Linked DNA regions of Stegostoma tigrinum. The protein of the gene in region 2 purifies or fractionates together with the protein of the main gene of each other region. This does not show direct contact. Links are inferred from orthologs where the notes say so. Each region holds a gene or a part of one and is shown on either strand. Other genes may lie near its edges.

Evidence for each region.
Region 1: the proteins of chd3 (region 2) and bcl11aa purify together in Homo sapiens (affinity purification with mass spectrometry; 3 studies listed by BioGRID). This does not show direct contact. The link is inferred for Stegostoma tigrinum from reciprocal best matches to the Homo sapiens genes CHD3 and BCL11A.

Annotation. Positions count from the first base shown.
Region 1 is NC_081362.1:41,927,609-41,935,112, forward strand, and holds the start of bcl11aa (BCL11 transcription factor A a), read left to right. Parts: upstream 1-4,490; 5' UTR 4,491-4,744; coding exon 4,745-4,799; intron 4,800-7,504. UniProt on the Homo sapiens protein: Transcription factor. Associated with the BAF SWI/SNF chromatin remodeling complex. Binds to the 5'-TGACCA-3' sequence motif in regulatory regions of target genes, including a distal promoter of the HBG1 hemoglobin subunit gamma-1 gene.
Region 2 is NC_081398.1:14,308,331-14,316,299, reverse strand, and holds the start of chd3 (chromodomain-helicase-DNA-binding protein 3), read right to left. Parts: upstream 3,003-7,969; 5' UTR 2,564-3,002; coding exon 2,467-2,563; intron 921-2,466; coding exon 796-920; intron 1-795.

The sequences.
Region 1 (7,504 bases), on a different chromosome or scaffold from region 2:
AATAGCCGCGAGAAAATATCTAAATGACACATATAGAGCAGCTTTGGTATTTGGGTCTAATCCTTTAGACAATTTAAGGGAAACAAATGAGAAAAAATATGTTTGGTACAACTGGTTGTAAGGTTTCTTTAAGGAAGATGTAGTTTGCAATGGATGATTTCTAGGTTTTGGTAGTGGAGACCAAAATGCTCAATATATATCTAAGCTAATGAAAGGTACTTGTTTTCATGTCATTTGGTGGAAGCCAAAATCCAGTTTTACTAGTTTTTTTCACACCTGGACGGCAAGGCGGGGGAGGGGAGAGGGAACGCAATACAAATCCAGCTACAGACAAAACAATCTTTGTTGTGCTACTACCTCTCGGTTGCCTGTCTCATCTTGAACAAAGGCAATGAATATTATAGCACCAGATCCATATGTATAACAGAGCACACAGCATGCATGCCACCAATTACGTTTGGATTGTACAGCAGGGGCATTTCAAACGCTACACTTTCTCACTCAATTTTGTATGCCAAGACACAGATCTTTTGTTCGCGATTAGTTTTGGTACAAAGCCTACACGATTTGCACTTCTGAATATAGTGCAAACGTCATCTGAACGCTTTCTGCTCAAGTGCCTCCTAATATGTGGGATGGAATATGGAAGCTTGTAATTGACACTCATTTTTACTGGCAAGCGCTGGCACGTCTTCAAGACTGTGCAGACAATACTGAAAACATCGCTAAGTTCGCCTTTTTCAATGGGTGCTGCGACGAACCTGTGCAATAAAGCTCGCTGGAACTGTGGTAAAGAGAAAATATTTGAAGGAAAGTGGTTTCGTCTTGCAAATAGATCCGTCTTGTCAACAGACAGACTTCAAACAGTGCAGCCACTTTAATATAGTGGAAGTCACATGCCACAACTGTCCACTGCGTTCAAATGCTTCTTCAAATTTATTGTCCCTTATATTAAAACGCGCTTCGAAGTTAAACGTCACAGGGTGATCAATTAGTTACTCAACAATTAGTTGTTGCATTGCAAACCAAAAACTCTGACTTTATCTTCCTGACAACTGAATTAAACTTCCGAATTATGCAAGCTGTTGACCACTGACCGCAGAAGCTATGTAGATTATGCGAAACATTTGATTACAATCAGCAACAACAAGGCGCTGATCACCGAGCAAAGGTTGGCGGCGGCGCTAGGGGTACTCCTGCAAGTCCCGGACAGAAAACAAAGGTTATATATATATATATATATATATAAAGTACATTTGCTGAATGATCTAAGAGACGGGGGGTAAAAATAATGACAAAGCAGCAGAAGGATTTGATTTATTTTGCGAATGGATCGAGACTGCTAATGTCTGATCATTTACATATTGAAATGCGACCAAGCGGACACTCAATTTTCCTGCCCATGTTTTGCACATGGCTCTCTCGATTTTCAAGCAGCCAGGTTACCTCGCAACGCCCCTTGAGGAGGTCAGGCGGTCGATTCCGCGTTGATCAATTTTGACTGCAAGGCATCAACATTATGAAAAACACCCTGGCACCAGATGGAGCGAGGTCTAGGTAAAGGTCAAGGTTAGCTCAGCCTGCTATTGAATCGGCTGCGTGATAGATCGTTGACTCGCTTTGCTCGGAGGCACCCATAGGGGTTTCTGAGAATAAAAGGAGTCACAAGTGAAACGCTCCGATGCTGCTCTGAATGCTAAAATAATTATTCGGATGCATTAAAAACGAGTAGCCAAATTCTTCCATAAGAAAACACACGCGCAGATAGGTGCTGGGAACATTTTATTAAGCATATCAGTCTGACTTCGAATACCCAACTCCAGTCATTGACTACATTACTTAAAGTTAGTCACTGAGCTAATCAAAAGATGGAATTAATTCCTTCATTACGGATTTGTCCATGAAGTGGTCGTGAAATTACCGAATGCGTCGATACTCCCTCCACCCCACCCCCCAACTCCCTCTCCTCAGTCTCTTCCAGGCACTCGATCGGATCTCTCCGTGCTGGGTCCGAGTTTCACTGGGCAGACATTACACACAAAAGTTACTCATGTATCCGCGCCGGTAGTTTTAATCAGGAAAGAGTGGAGGAGAGGCGCGCGGCGGCGGCGGGCAGGGGGTGAATGTATGTGTTTGTGTGTTGGGAGGAGGGGGGCGGGCGGTGGGTGTCTGTACATTTTTATTTGACTGCGACTTGGCAATAATTGGATTCGCGAACTCACTTCATAACTACTGGACAAGATGGTAGATAAAAGGCGACCAGGTTAGCAGCCAGCTTCCAGATGCAGATTAGATCAGAAATAATTTTGCATTAGAAGTGGGGGAGGTCTGCTGGAAGGAACTTGGCTCTGGCAGTTCGGCAGCGCTTTGCCCTCGCTCCCTATAAATTTACCGAACCCTTTTCCTGTAGAAAACCGCACGGTTCGAAAACAAAACAACCTACAGTCATTTGGAATCCTTGCAGATGGGAAATGTACTTTTACCGTTTTAACAGAAGTGCCATCCACCTCGGGTTAAGAGTTATAAAACCATTTTGTTTTACATCCATGACTTTAAGTAACCTAACTTCCTCGTGTGAGACGGACGGTACAGCTGCAACCGCAGATCTTATCTGATCGTTGAGTGTTAAGAGTAAAAATAGTTAACCCTTCAACCACTTGCTACAGCTGGTGAAAAGAAAAAAATGGCGCAGTTTCTGTTAACATATCGCACCATTGATCGCAATGAGTTCAATTTCACTTCTGCCTGAAATCTTTTGCTAGCCATATTCACGTCTAGGGCCCTCCAGCTAAAAGTATTTATACTCCACAAAAAAAAGCACCATCATACACACAAGGTTACGTCTGGGGAGCACAATACTTATACTTCATGGAAACAATGACTTAAAACGCCTCTGAAATCTTCCATATTCTACGGTTCCTGTTGCATCAGTACAAATTTATAGTACAGCACAAGTTTTAAAAACAAGATTCTTCAAGCTACCTATTCCGATAGTTATCTCGCTGAAGTCTGCAATCATGCACTCGAGAGACAAAATTCTTTCTTATTTACGATTTTCTAATTGCAAAGCATGTTACACGATTTTTTTCTAGTTTGTTGTGCAGATTTTATTTTAAATAAACATGGAAGGGCAGATTTATAAAAAAACTGTTATGTTATATTGATTGACTAGACTTTCAGCCATCACATTTAATCAAACCATCCAAGTATCACCAAGGGCAACAGAATTATCATAAAATCATTTTCCTTTAAAAAAATCGTGTGCTTGAAATGTTATTACATTTTTTAAAATAAAACGGTCGATGCAGGTGCAAAATCTTCAAAGGTTACTCGAAAACTCCTTTTCTCACCTCGCATAAATGAACAGGGCCGTATGTGTATCTTGAAATGAGAAGCAGCATTGCTATTTTAAACATAATTTGCATTCAACTCCAATACCTGCAACTAAAGTACCTGCAAATCCATTGAAAAACGAGAATGAACTGTGTGAAGATCAATTATCAAGCCGTTCTCGGTTTAACATACTGTATAGAAGAGCGACACAAAGGGTAGAAAAATAATAGGATTAACATTTTCACTTCATATTATATATTCACGTTACTTCAAGCATTTCCACGGTCTTGTGAATTATCCGCCAATAAGTAACTGAAAACAGCAGAGATGCGAATAACAGGTAACGCTAAGGAAATAGATAGTCGAGGACACTTCCTTTTATTCCACAAACTAAACATAATATAACGTTATGTTTATAAAGCACATAAGCACAGAAAGAGTCAGCAACCTTCAGGAGCAGTTGCTTTTGTCATAGAAAGTGAAAGAAGGCAGTAGACATGATTTATGATTTTAATTTAAAATAATATACAAATGTAAATATCTACGCTCTATCCAGCTGTTTGGATTCACGTGTACGCTATCGAATTTCAGTGGGCTGCAAATTCTAATACTCATTTGGGTATTTACACCATAAAATACTTTACAAACCTTGTTTATTCCCCCTATCACCACTACACATAATTAACTTTATGAATAATGTCAACCTTTTCGGACGTGGTTGGCAATCATAACGGGGACACAAAAACAAACGCGGAGTGCATGTGCGTTCCCCTTCCTGATGTCCTGCACGGGTTGTCCAGCGCAAATGTCTCATCACTTGCCCAGTTCTGGCCAGCAAGCGTTGCGCCCATGAGTTGCCAGCAGTTTGGGCTGGCACAGAAAGAGAGAGAGAGAGAGTTGGGAGCGGTGTGGAGGGGAGCGCGGTTGGAGTGGCTTTCAGAGAGAGAAGGCGGTGGTGTGTGTGTGAAGGGGAAGGGGGTGGTGGTGTGTAGATGGTGGTGGTGGTGTGGGGGGGGGGGGGGTGGTGGGAGCGGTTGCAGCGGTAGGCGGATGATGGATTGATTGGAAGCTGCTGGAAGCTGCGCCTATTGGATGCCTGGGACTGAGAGTGAGTGTGAGTGTGTGTTAGTGAGACTCTGTGTGAGCAGTGGGGTTTGTCCGGCCCCGTGTCCCTGGGTATGTATCATTGGCTTGCTCTCTCCTCTCGCCCTGCCCAGCCACCTCCTGACGTTCAAGTTCGCGGGCACGTCACGTACGCACTTGAACTTGGTCGTTTTAAAGCCATGACGGCTATCCCACAATCCATCTCCATCCGCCATCTTTGTATTATTTCTAATTTATTTTATGTCAAGCCATTGATGAAGATATTTTCTCTGGAGTCTCCTTCTTCCCGCTCCCGATGTGACCGAGCATGTCTCGCCGCAAGCAAGGCAACCCTCAGCACTTGAGTAAACGGGAATTTTCACGTGAGTAGCTTTCAAATTTTTTTTTGTTCCACTTTTTTTGGGAAAAAAACATATTTAAAAATAAAGCGCTCCGTTGAAAGTGCAGGGAAGAAGAAGAAAGATCTTCCCCGGCGGCCCCCCCGCAACCCACCCCTCTCTCTGGTGAGGTGCCGGCAGCAGCAGCGGCGCCGGGGCTCGATCGGTCAGCGCTTTGACCGGACTCCTGACAGCAAGTGGCCGGACTGAGGGGCAGAGCAGCTGCAGGGATCTGAGCCTCCCAAGTGTCCGGCTCCAGATCCGCTCAAATTCTCTTATCCACCTTTCCCCCCTCCGTCACCTCCATACACAAACAAAAATCCTCCACATGCCAAGGAGGGTGGGGGGTGGAAAACAACAGAAGAAATCAGAATAAACTCCTCAGGAGGTGAGGGGCAACGAAACTGTAAGGAAGAAACTCAACAAGAGTCCAAAAAAAGTGCCGATACCCCTCCCGCCCCCTCCTCTCCGGACACTCGGCGCTGGCTTTGCAGCTTTGATCGCGCCGCCCCTCAAAGGGCATCAGTCCCCGAGCCCCATCCGTCTTCCACCCCCCCCCACCTCCCCCGCCAAAAAAATTTAAACTTATTCCCTCTCCTTCCTCCTTCCTTCGGAAGCCGGGAAATCGTCTCATACTCGCTCGCAAGTTTAATTCACCGCTTAACTTCTCCCGCTTTCCCTCCTCTTACTATTTTTTGGAAGATTTTCAAAAAAAATCTGGAAGTAGATTGTGATTGGGAAAAATCTCGTGCTTGAATGTTTACAACAAGCTGCAGCTCCGCGTGTGCGGAAACCTCATGGAAAAAAAACCCAGCGCCGACGCTCTCACATTTTGCAGCGTTTCGCAAATCCCCTCCCAGAACTATTAAGTCTAATTAATAATTTTGTTTTGAAGAGTCACAAACTCCGCTGTAAACCCCGGGTGTTAGCGTTGCTGTCCTCGGGCAGACACGCGGAACTCTCGGGGCTGACCGAGCTGCGGGTGTCAGTCAGTCCGGGCGCGCACACGTGCGATCCGCCAGATCGGGGAGAGGGGGGAAGAGATCCTGAGGAGTGGGAGGCCGGAGAGTGGGAGCCCGGGCGTAGACGGAACACGGGGATAGAGATCCTGGAACTGGGGGAGAGGAAGCCCGGGTAGAGGGACCCCGGAGCGAGGTGGGATCGGTATAACTGAATGAGAGATCTTGGAGACGGGTGGTGGGGGTTGGCGGAGGTATGTTGCTGGAGAAAGAGAGAGCCCGGAGCTGGACGGAGAGATTCGGGAGTCCGGGGGGGGGGGTGGAGGAGGGCGGCGGGAAGGTCGGGGTGGGGGGTGATGTGGGTGGTGAGGTAGAGACGCCAGAGTTTTTGGATACACTAGTCAGAGAGAGAGAGAGAGAGAGAGAGATATCCCGGAGCCGTGGGGGTGGGGAGAAATAGATGGGGAGGGAGAGAGAGAGAGAGACCCGGCAGCACAAGAGAAGGGGAGAGCGGGAGATCTATGGGCGGTGGGGGAGAGAGAGAGAGCGAGAGCCTGGGGAACGACAACCCGGTGGACGGAGTTGGGAGAGAGTCCAGCTCCCGGCACCGAGATCCCGTGGGGCAGGGGAGTCCGGGTCCCGGACTCCGTTCCCACACACGTTCGGAAGGAAGTTATTAACAGCCCCACCCCACCCCCCGGAATGTTAAGCACACTGTTTGGGGAGAGGGAGTTTTTAGCTTTGGTTTTTGTGAAAATGAGACTTTGTTCCTGTTGGGGGAAAGCCGCAGGTTTGTTGTCAGATTTTCCAGTGTTGCCGTCATCTCTGAGATTGCGATCGGCCAGTTCCTGGGCTTTCACATTGAAATCCAACAGAGCGAGCAAACTGGCGAGAATTGAAAAGAAATACCTGGCGAATAAAGTATAGTTAAAACTGTAGTGTGGGAGTTTCTTTCGCGTTTAAAACCCGTTTTTCATAATTCAGTGATTGTGGGAAAATGTATTTATAAGCCAGACAGTGGAGGAAAAATAAGGCGATTCGTCTTGTCGATAGAAATCGCGGACTTTTGGCTTTCTGAATATTTTCTGTTTTGCCAAGTCCCCGTTGAATCGTCTCAATGTAGAATATTGGGTCTAAACGGAAGATGTATCAAGGTTGTTTAAAGTGTGCGTGAGGGACTGAAGGGAGAGGGGTCGATGCTGCGCGCTTGTGTCGCTAGGAGGCAGAGTAACATCAAAAACAAGCCCAGGCTGCAACCTGCGCAAACTTCCAACACCATTTCCTAGCGACTGCTCTCAGATCTTCCTCCTTGTCCTCCCCCGCCGACCAAAAAAAGCAAATTAAACGAAACCGACCCCATCCCAAACACACTCTGCTTTACTGGCTGTTTTCCATCCGATATTCTTCCAGGTAAAAGGGCTAAGTCTGATGCCGAGCTTCACCTGCACGAGGGCTCGACGCATCGGAATTATTGTTGAAGTTCGTTGAGTTCAGGCATTATTCTAAACAAAAGCAATCAATTAAAAAAACTAAATAATAACACAGCTTACCCCTTCCCCGTTAAAAAGCTTGGAGAAAAAGGAAACAATTTTTAAAAAAATCAGTTCAGTTAATGATACAGAAGCAAAGTTTGTTCAATAACAGCAGCTAGTTGTTTGCTCTAAAGAATATTTTGCTTTGACCCACGTGTGTGTGATGATTGCATTTTTTAAAATTTTGGGAAATGCTTTG
Region 2 (7,969 bases):
GGCTTGAGGAGGGAGGAAGGGATAGGTGACAGGAAGAACAGGTTAGGGAGGCGGGGACGAGCTGGGCTGGTTTTGGGATGCAGTGGGTGGAGGGGAGATTTTGAAGCTTATGAAGTCCACATTGATACCATTGGGCTGCAGGGTTCCCAAGCGGAATATGAGTTGCTGTTCCTGCAACCTTCAGGTGGCATCATTGTGGCACTGCAGGAGGCCCACGATGGACATGTCGTCTGAGGAAGGGGGGGGGGGGGAGAAGAGAGAGTTAAAATGGTTCGTGACTGGGAGGTGCAGTTGTTTATTGCAAACTGAGCAGAGGTGTTCAGCAAAGTGGTCCCCAAGCCTCCGCTTGGTTTCCCCAATGTAGAGGTAGCCACACCGGGTGCAGTGGATACAGTATACCACATTGGCAGATGTGCAGGTGAACATCTGCTAATATGGAAAGTCAATGGATTTTTAATGGGTTAGGGTTTCAGTTTGTCTACTCCATCATCCCCTGCATGGCTAATGGAGCACACGGCGATTCTTTTTTCCATCCAGCTTCGTCCTCAAAAGGAGGTGGTGCGGTGGCAAGGTGGCAGAATAGGCTACATGGAAGATCCATTTTTTAGTCCTGCAGCATACGTTTTCTAATGGGAAGGGCCATTGGGGTTCACTGGTATCTCTGGGTCAGAAGGAACAAATACCATTTGGAGCAAATACCAACTGCTCCAGAGGTACATCATAATATGACTGAACAGGTCAACTGGAAAATATCTAGCTGCAGGGTGAATAACCAGAGAACTTGCTGCTACTCACCAATTTCTTCCGCTTCTTCAGCTTAGTTGGTTTATTTTCCTTTTGTTTTTTCAGGAATTTCTTCTTCTTCTTTTTGGTACTTTCACTGTCTGAAATCTCTTCGTCCTCCTCTTCCACATCTTCTGCTGAAACAAGAAATGTGCAACTGTTTCAATTCGGCAGCATTAAACACCAAGGCCTTAAGTACTTAGAGGTTGCCATTCGGCTTAGAGCCTGCTCTGCCCTTCAACCAGATCACAGCCAATTAATGCAATTTTCTGAAGAAGGGTCCAGACCCGAAATGTCAGCTTTCCTGCTTCTGTGATGCTGCCCGGCCTGCTGTGTTCATCCAGCTCGGCACCCTGTTCTCTACTTAAGTGTTCTTTTAATATATGAATTATGCTTCGATAGAAAGCATCCAGGGATCAGCCAGCACTGGGGACCATTAGAAAACCAACGCAGCTGCTGCAGCGGTAGAATAGGGGCACACAGAAATTTTAAAAAAAATCAGGAATAACGGAAAAGCGTGGAGAAGGATGTACTGGGTTAAGGAAGAGAGGGTGAGGATGGTGAGTTCAGGGTCTTGGAACAGGAGCTGGCCATCGGGACATTCCAAGATATTCCACTGTTCAAAAAGTTACCGTTTGGCGGGGGAGAAGGTGTGTCTCAGCTCCACATGCCTCTGAGGCGGATCAGTTGGGGAGAGCAGATGCTGTACGTGGAGGAAGGCTGGTGTCGGGGCAGTGAAAGAGTTAAAGGGAGCCGCCGCCGAGCGAGAAAATGGCGGCCGCCGGCTTTGTTTTTTTTTGGGGGGGGCGCGAAAGGAGGAGAAAAGAAGGATAAATGGGCAACTAAACAAACTGGCAGCCGATCTTATTGTGGGGGGAGGAGGAAGAGGAAGACAGGGCAAACAACGAGCAATTGAGGATATCACAAAGATATAAATCGCACCTATGGTGAAGGGGGGGGGTTTATTACCTCAGATGAAAACATCCGTGGAGCTCACAAGAGGAGCACACAAAGAGAAAATTTAAAGTCCGCCCCGGGTGGGGGGGTATTTACACAGATATTGTCGAGGGTGGGGGTCGGAAAAAGGAAGGTTTGTTTCGCCGGGAGATCGTGCTTCTCTCTCTCTGTGTCTTGTCTGTCACTCGCCCCCTCGGCGGGTTGTTGTTGTAGCAGCAGCGTTTGATTGACAGGCGCGGCCGTTAGCACAAGGAGCGCGCGGCCCCCGGGGCTCGGGCTTCCACTTGCAGCAGGAGCCGCGTCTGAGGGCACAGGGAGCGGGAGGAGGAGTGAGGGTTTAAACGGCGCGAGAAAGAGAATGAACTTTACGGCCGCTGCAAGCCAACAATCCGGGGGGGGGGGGAACATTCCCAAAAGAAAAATAGCTTTAACGCGTGCAGCCGGCCAAACCGAAAGAAAAATAAAACGCCGGCGTCGGAGAGGACACCAACCAAATATTGAGAGATGAGAAAAAAAACACAAACGACTGCACGGGGAGGGGGGCTGTGGGTGTGGAAAAAAATAATTCGTGGGGGTGAAGGGAAGAGATGCCATATTGCCATTGCAGCCCTCCGCCCCTCGTGCATTCTACCCGAGCACTTAATGTCGAAAGGTTTTTGCAATTTTGGGGTTGGGAGAAAAATAGCTTTTAGAAGCGGCCCCGGGGAAAGCGGCGCGCGCGCTAACCTGCCGCTGGCGGGAAAAGCTGCAAACCGGCGCCGCTGCGTTCGTCCATGTCCTCCTCATCCTCCTCCTCTTCTGGGTGCCTCACTGGAGATGCCATGGCCTCAGGAATTTCGCCCACCCCTCCCTACTCACTCAATAAAAATATATTTCCTCACTCTCTTTCCTCTCCCCCCTTCCCTTTTCATATATGTACACAAAATAACGAAAGCTACGCCAGTCTTTCTTCGGGAACACCCCCCCCCCCCAACGGTTTCTATTTTTTCCCCTATACACACAAACAAAAGTTATCCTACAGACTTTTGTTTTTGTGTGAGGGTTTCCTGTAAAGATCAGATCTCTCTCCTTCGCTAGTTTTCAATTTAAAGACCCCCCCTTCCCTTTCTTAAGGAAAAAGTTCCAAGCTACTTAACCAAACCCCCTCAAAAATGTTTTAATATACAAGGGGAAGAAAAGATGGCGTCCAAAATATTTTCCACCCCCCCATTATGAAATTTGGTGGGGGGGGAATTTGAAGAGAAAAAAGGTGGAAAATTAATCAGTGCTCATGCTCAGATTGACGTCACCCCCTCCCGTTGCTATGGGCACCCTGCATCCCATAATAGCACCAGTTTAACTAGTTAGGACTGACTCACGTGGGTCTTTAACCAAGTAACCAGGGGATGTCCAGCAATTGCCATTTTTCAGTCAAGTTGGTGAGGGTGGTCAGCCTCCTTTTGGCCCTATTGCTCCTGATTCATTAACATCATGATAAACACCTTCAAGGTCAACTTTCAACTTATATTTTGGTCCTCTCTGCTCGGTCAAACATGAGCATCTTCCTTCTTCTTTTCATGCTCAAACATTTCCTACCCAGTTCGAAGAAAGATGCCCGCTTCTTTCCTCTCCTCAATGTCCCTGGGTCCTCACAGCAACTTGTTAAAAAAAATTGTCCCCTATCTCATCTCCAAAATTTTCCCGCGAACCAAAAGAAACAGCATTTTTTTTTAAAAAGTCCCACTGGCAATGTTATTTTCCACTTCAAACCTAAAAAAACTGATGGCCCCAATTTGTTGGACACTGTATTAAAGCAGCAGAAACAATATATTTGGTGCAACATTGCTCCCAAGGGATTCATGTCTGGTGGCTCAGTGAGTAGCACTCAGGCTGTGACTTTATATTCCCTTGGCAGAGATTTGAGCGCTACATTCTAGCCGACTTTCTCAGCGCTTCAGAGGAAGCACTGCCTCGTCAGAAGTACCATCTTTCAGATGTTATATTAAAATATGACACCGTCTACCTCTTCAGTGGGACGTAAAATATCCCATGACCTCTGTTTCAAAGAAGGGCAGGGGAGTTCTCTTCATTAGCTCCAGCTAATATTTATCCCTCAAACAAAAATTATCCCCAGATTATCTGGTCAATAGCACGTTGCTGTTTGCAGGACCTTATCTTACATCAATTTACTGTGGTGTTTCCTATGTTGCAGCAGTGACTGCACTTCAAATTTATCTAAAGCTTTGTACCCTTCTGAAGTTGTGAAGGGCATGATATAAATGCACTTTTTTGGTGAAAGTGCTCCATTAACTCGGCTGCACCCAGAAGCTTTGGCACTTGCCTGAATCTTCATCGACATGGAAGGTGGGAATGTCTGCCTGTGTATGTGCATCTCTGGAGAGATACCCAACATTTAAAAAAATCCCAGACATTCAAAAGACAATCCTAAAAGATAAGACATACAGCAAAAATATTAGCAAAGTTTGCATACTTCTAGCAATTTCTCTTTACCTTGCAGATGGTTTCAGTGTTTAAGGCTTTGCATGAAGAGATTACTTCGAATTTGTTTTTGTCAAAACAATTTTGACCTTTGTTATGTAATTGCAGGATTATACAACTCTTAGCCAGAAAGTTTCTTTTTTTGTATAATTTGATCATATTCAAAAGGTTCCAGAAAGAAATGTCTGAAATTCCTTTATTAACCACTTCTCAGGTTTTTGTACTTTTAGTTGAGGACAATGTATTGGCATGGACATTGAGGAAAAGCCCCCACATCTTCAAATCATGGCGAGGGAATAATTTGCATTGACTTAAATAATTAGTTAACATCGCAATGCATCATCCAAGAGATGACCCCTCCATTAGTTCAACACTCACCTGATGCCTTGCTCTAGTATTGACATGGATTACGTGTTCAAATCCTGAAGTGAGATTTGAACTCATGGCGTACTGACTTGGAGCTGAGAATGCGACCAAATGATACTAATATAAAATAAAGACTACAAATGCTGGAGAAATTCAACTAATCTGGTAGCATTTGTGAAGACAGGAAGAGAGTTAACATTTCAAGTGCAACATGGCTCCTGTTCACTTAGAAGTGACACTAATTCCAACAGGTACTAAGGTACCATAATCTATGAATACTTTATTAATAAAATGCTTGTGCCAAGAAAATGTGTACTTTTTTTTCTTTTCGCCATTTCGGGATTGAAATGCATAATCTTGGATTTTGACATCCAGATTTTAGGTAGTGCATTTGTGTGTTGTTATAGCAAATTGACAACAACAAGGACTCTGTAAATAAGTGCTATCTGGAGTATCTGGAGATGTCACTAGAGAATTCAGGATGACATCCAATTCTGTGAAAATATCATTTAGAAACTAACCAATTTTGTGAAAATCTCATTCGGAAATGAAATTAAGTCTGTGTTTAGCAAGTCATAAAGCTACATATATTCTTTGGCAACAAGTAAATGACTTTTCTAATTTTTAATTCGTGTCAAAATATCACTGAGTCCCACCCCTCTTGATTCTTCAACATATTTTTACTGTTTTTATATTCTTCCCTATTAACCCATCTTTGCAAGACAGAAGCAATCTACTTGGCCTATCTGTATATCTGCTCCATACAAGCCTCCTCCCAACCCCTCTTCATCTCTCCCTATCAGCATATTCCCCTCTTCAATTTATTAATACTATTCCCCTTGACTGCTCCCTGTGGGAGTGAGTTCCACATCCTCCTCACTCTCTGGGTAAAGATGTTTCTTCTAAATTCCTGATTTATTTTCGTTGTCTGATATAGATGGCCCTAATTTCTGGCCTCACCCACAAGCATCTTTTCTACATCTACTCTACCAAATTCCTGTCTAATTTTAAAATCCTCAGTACTGTTATCAGAGAAAATAAATTCAGCCTATTTAGCTTTGAGTGATAGCCTCAACCTTTCAGGTCTTCCATCAGCTCCATGAATTTTTAATGTACATTCTTCAACGCTTCTACATTCATTTTGTAATATGCAGTTTAACAGTATTAACATGATGGTTTAATGATGTGGCAAAATCAACAGGATGAATCATGGAATGATGCAGCATGGAAGAAGGCACTCACCCTATTAGGTCTCTGCTGGATGCTTCATGAGCGATCTCAATGGTCCTTCACCCTCCTGCTACACCCCTTTCCTCCTACACCTCTGCTATTTTCCTCCTTTGACTTATCCATTTTCATTGCGGAGGCTACAAGTTTTATCCACCATACTGTCAGGCAGCGTGTTCCAAATACTGACAATGCATCATGTAAAACTAAAATAGCACACAACAAGACTCCAAAAACATATTAATAAATAACTAAATAATCTGTTGGGTGGCATTAGGTATGGAGATAATGTCAGCCTAGAGAAAGAAGAGAACATGCTGCCCTTTCCTAATTACATCATGAGATGATTTGCATCATCATAAGAAGAAGGCATCTTATTCAAATAAAGGAACACCTGACAGCAGAGCACTCTGTCAGGACTGCATTGGGAATGTTAGTCTGGGTTACGTGCTCACAATTGGGCATTAACCTCCAAGCTTCAAAAACCAATAAGCTTCTTTTAAGGCTTTCCCATCATCCTCTGTGCTTGCTGAGCTAACTTGTTCCCAGGTCCAGCTACACCTTGATTTTAAAACTTGCATCCATGTCTTCAAATGCTTCTAAGGCCTTATTTCTCCCTGCCTCTACAACGTCCTCCAACCCTTCAAGATCTCTGCACTTCTCTAATTGCAGTCTCTTGAAGATGATCAATTCCCATAGTTCAGCCAGTGACAATCAAGCCTTCCTCTCTGTGCCCCAGGCTCTGGAAATCCCTTCCTAAACCTTTCTGCCTCTCATTTTGCTTCTTTAAGATGCTTCTTAAAACACTGACTAAGTTCTTGTTCGACCCACCACAACATCTCTTTACAAGTTATAATGTCAAAATTCCATCTCATAACAGTCCTGTGAAGCGCCTTGGAACGTTAAACATGAATGTGAGGTATTGCTGTTAAAGTGGCCTGTGCACTTAAAAATATCTTGAGTTCAGCTGAGACAGTTAACAGTTAGAAACTTGCGAGTAAATACATCTCTTCCCAACAATAGCAAAAGTCAGGATCAAGCAACACATTTGCTTTTGTTTTTAAACCAAATGTGCAACATGAACAGATCTGATGAGCTACAAGGACTACTTTTGCGTTTACTGGCCTTTAATTCTATCAGTGCCGACAGAGAGAGAGTGTGTGATTATTCTGACAGGCCTAGACCAAAAGACCTAGCACGCTAACACTTACTGACACGACTGGTGCTCTCTAAGGATTTGGCCTCAACTGTTTGTGCTCATAACTTGGGGAGCTGGATTTGAACCCACCAACCTACAACTGGCTCAGTGACAGGTGTGCAACCCAGTCAGGTCACTGATTCCATGGCGAGTTTGGATTCCATCTGGAGCCAGTACCCTCAGCAAGTTAAAAAGGAGAAAGCAGAATTACATGGAATTTCCAGCACAAGAAACAGGCTTCTCAGCCCCAAACTAGACAACTAGACATGTGCATGTTTTTCTGCTTACACAAGACTCCTCGCACCCCTTCCTTATCTCGTCCTAACAGTGCATCCTTATGTTTTCTCCTTCACAAGTTCTTTGAGATTCCCCAAGTAAAGACATCTCTGCCGTCTGCAGGTATCCACTTTTTTTGGGCGGGTTGTGATGGCATATTGATAATTTCACTTGGCTAATGCAGAACTCTGGGAAAATGTTCTGGGACATGGCAGATAGCGAAGTATGGTCCGGAATAAAAGGCTTGCTGTGTATAACAACTATCAATTGTCATTAAAATCACCATAATTCACTAATACCCTGAAGAACATCTGGTATCCTTACCTTGCCTGGCCTACATGTGATTCCAACCATGTGGTTGACTCTTTACCAGGTCAAGATGGTGGCAGGCTAAGACACTCCTCTGCTGGAGTTCCTCTCCTCACCAGTTCCTTTTCTTTTTTCTTTTCTTTTTATCTCCCTCTCCCCTTTGCAGTATTCCCCACCCCCTCAACCCCCCCCAAAATTTAACTATTTTTAACTTCAACTATTTAACTCTAACCTGAAGAAAGGAATCCCTCCGGTGACTGGGCGGGAGCTGAGCACACCGTAGTGGAGTGAGCATGGGTCAGAACGAAGTCAGCAGAGCGGACACGGGTTGGAGCGAGTCCTGGAGGGGCCAAGTCCCCAGAGGTGAAGCTGCAT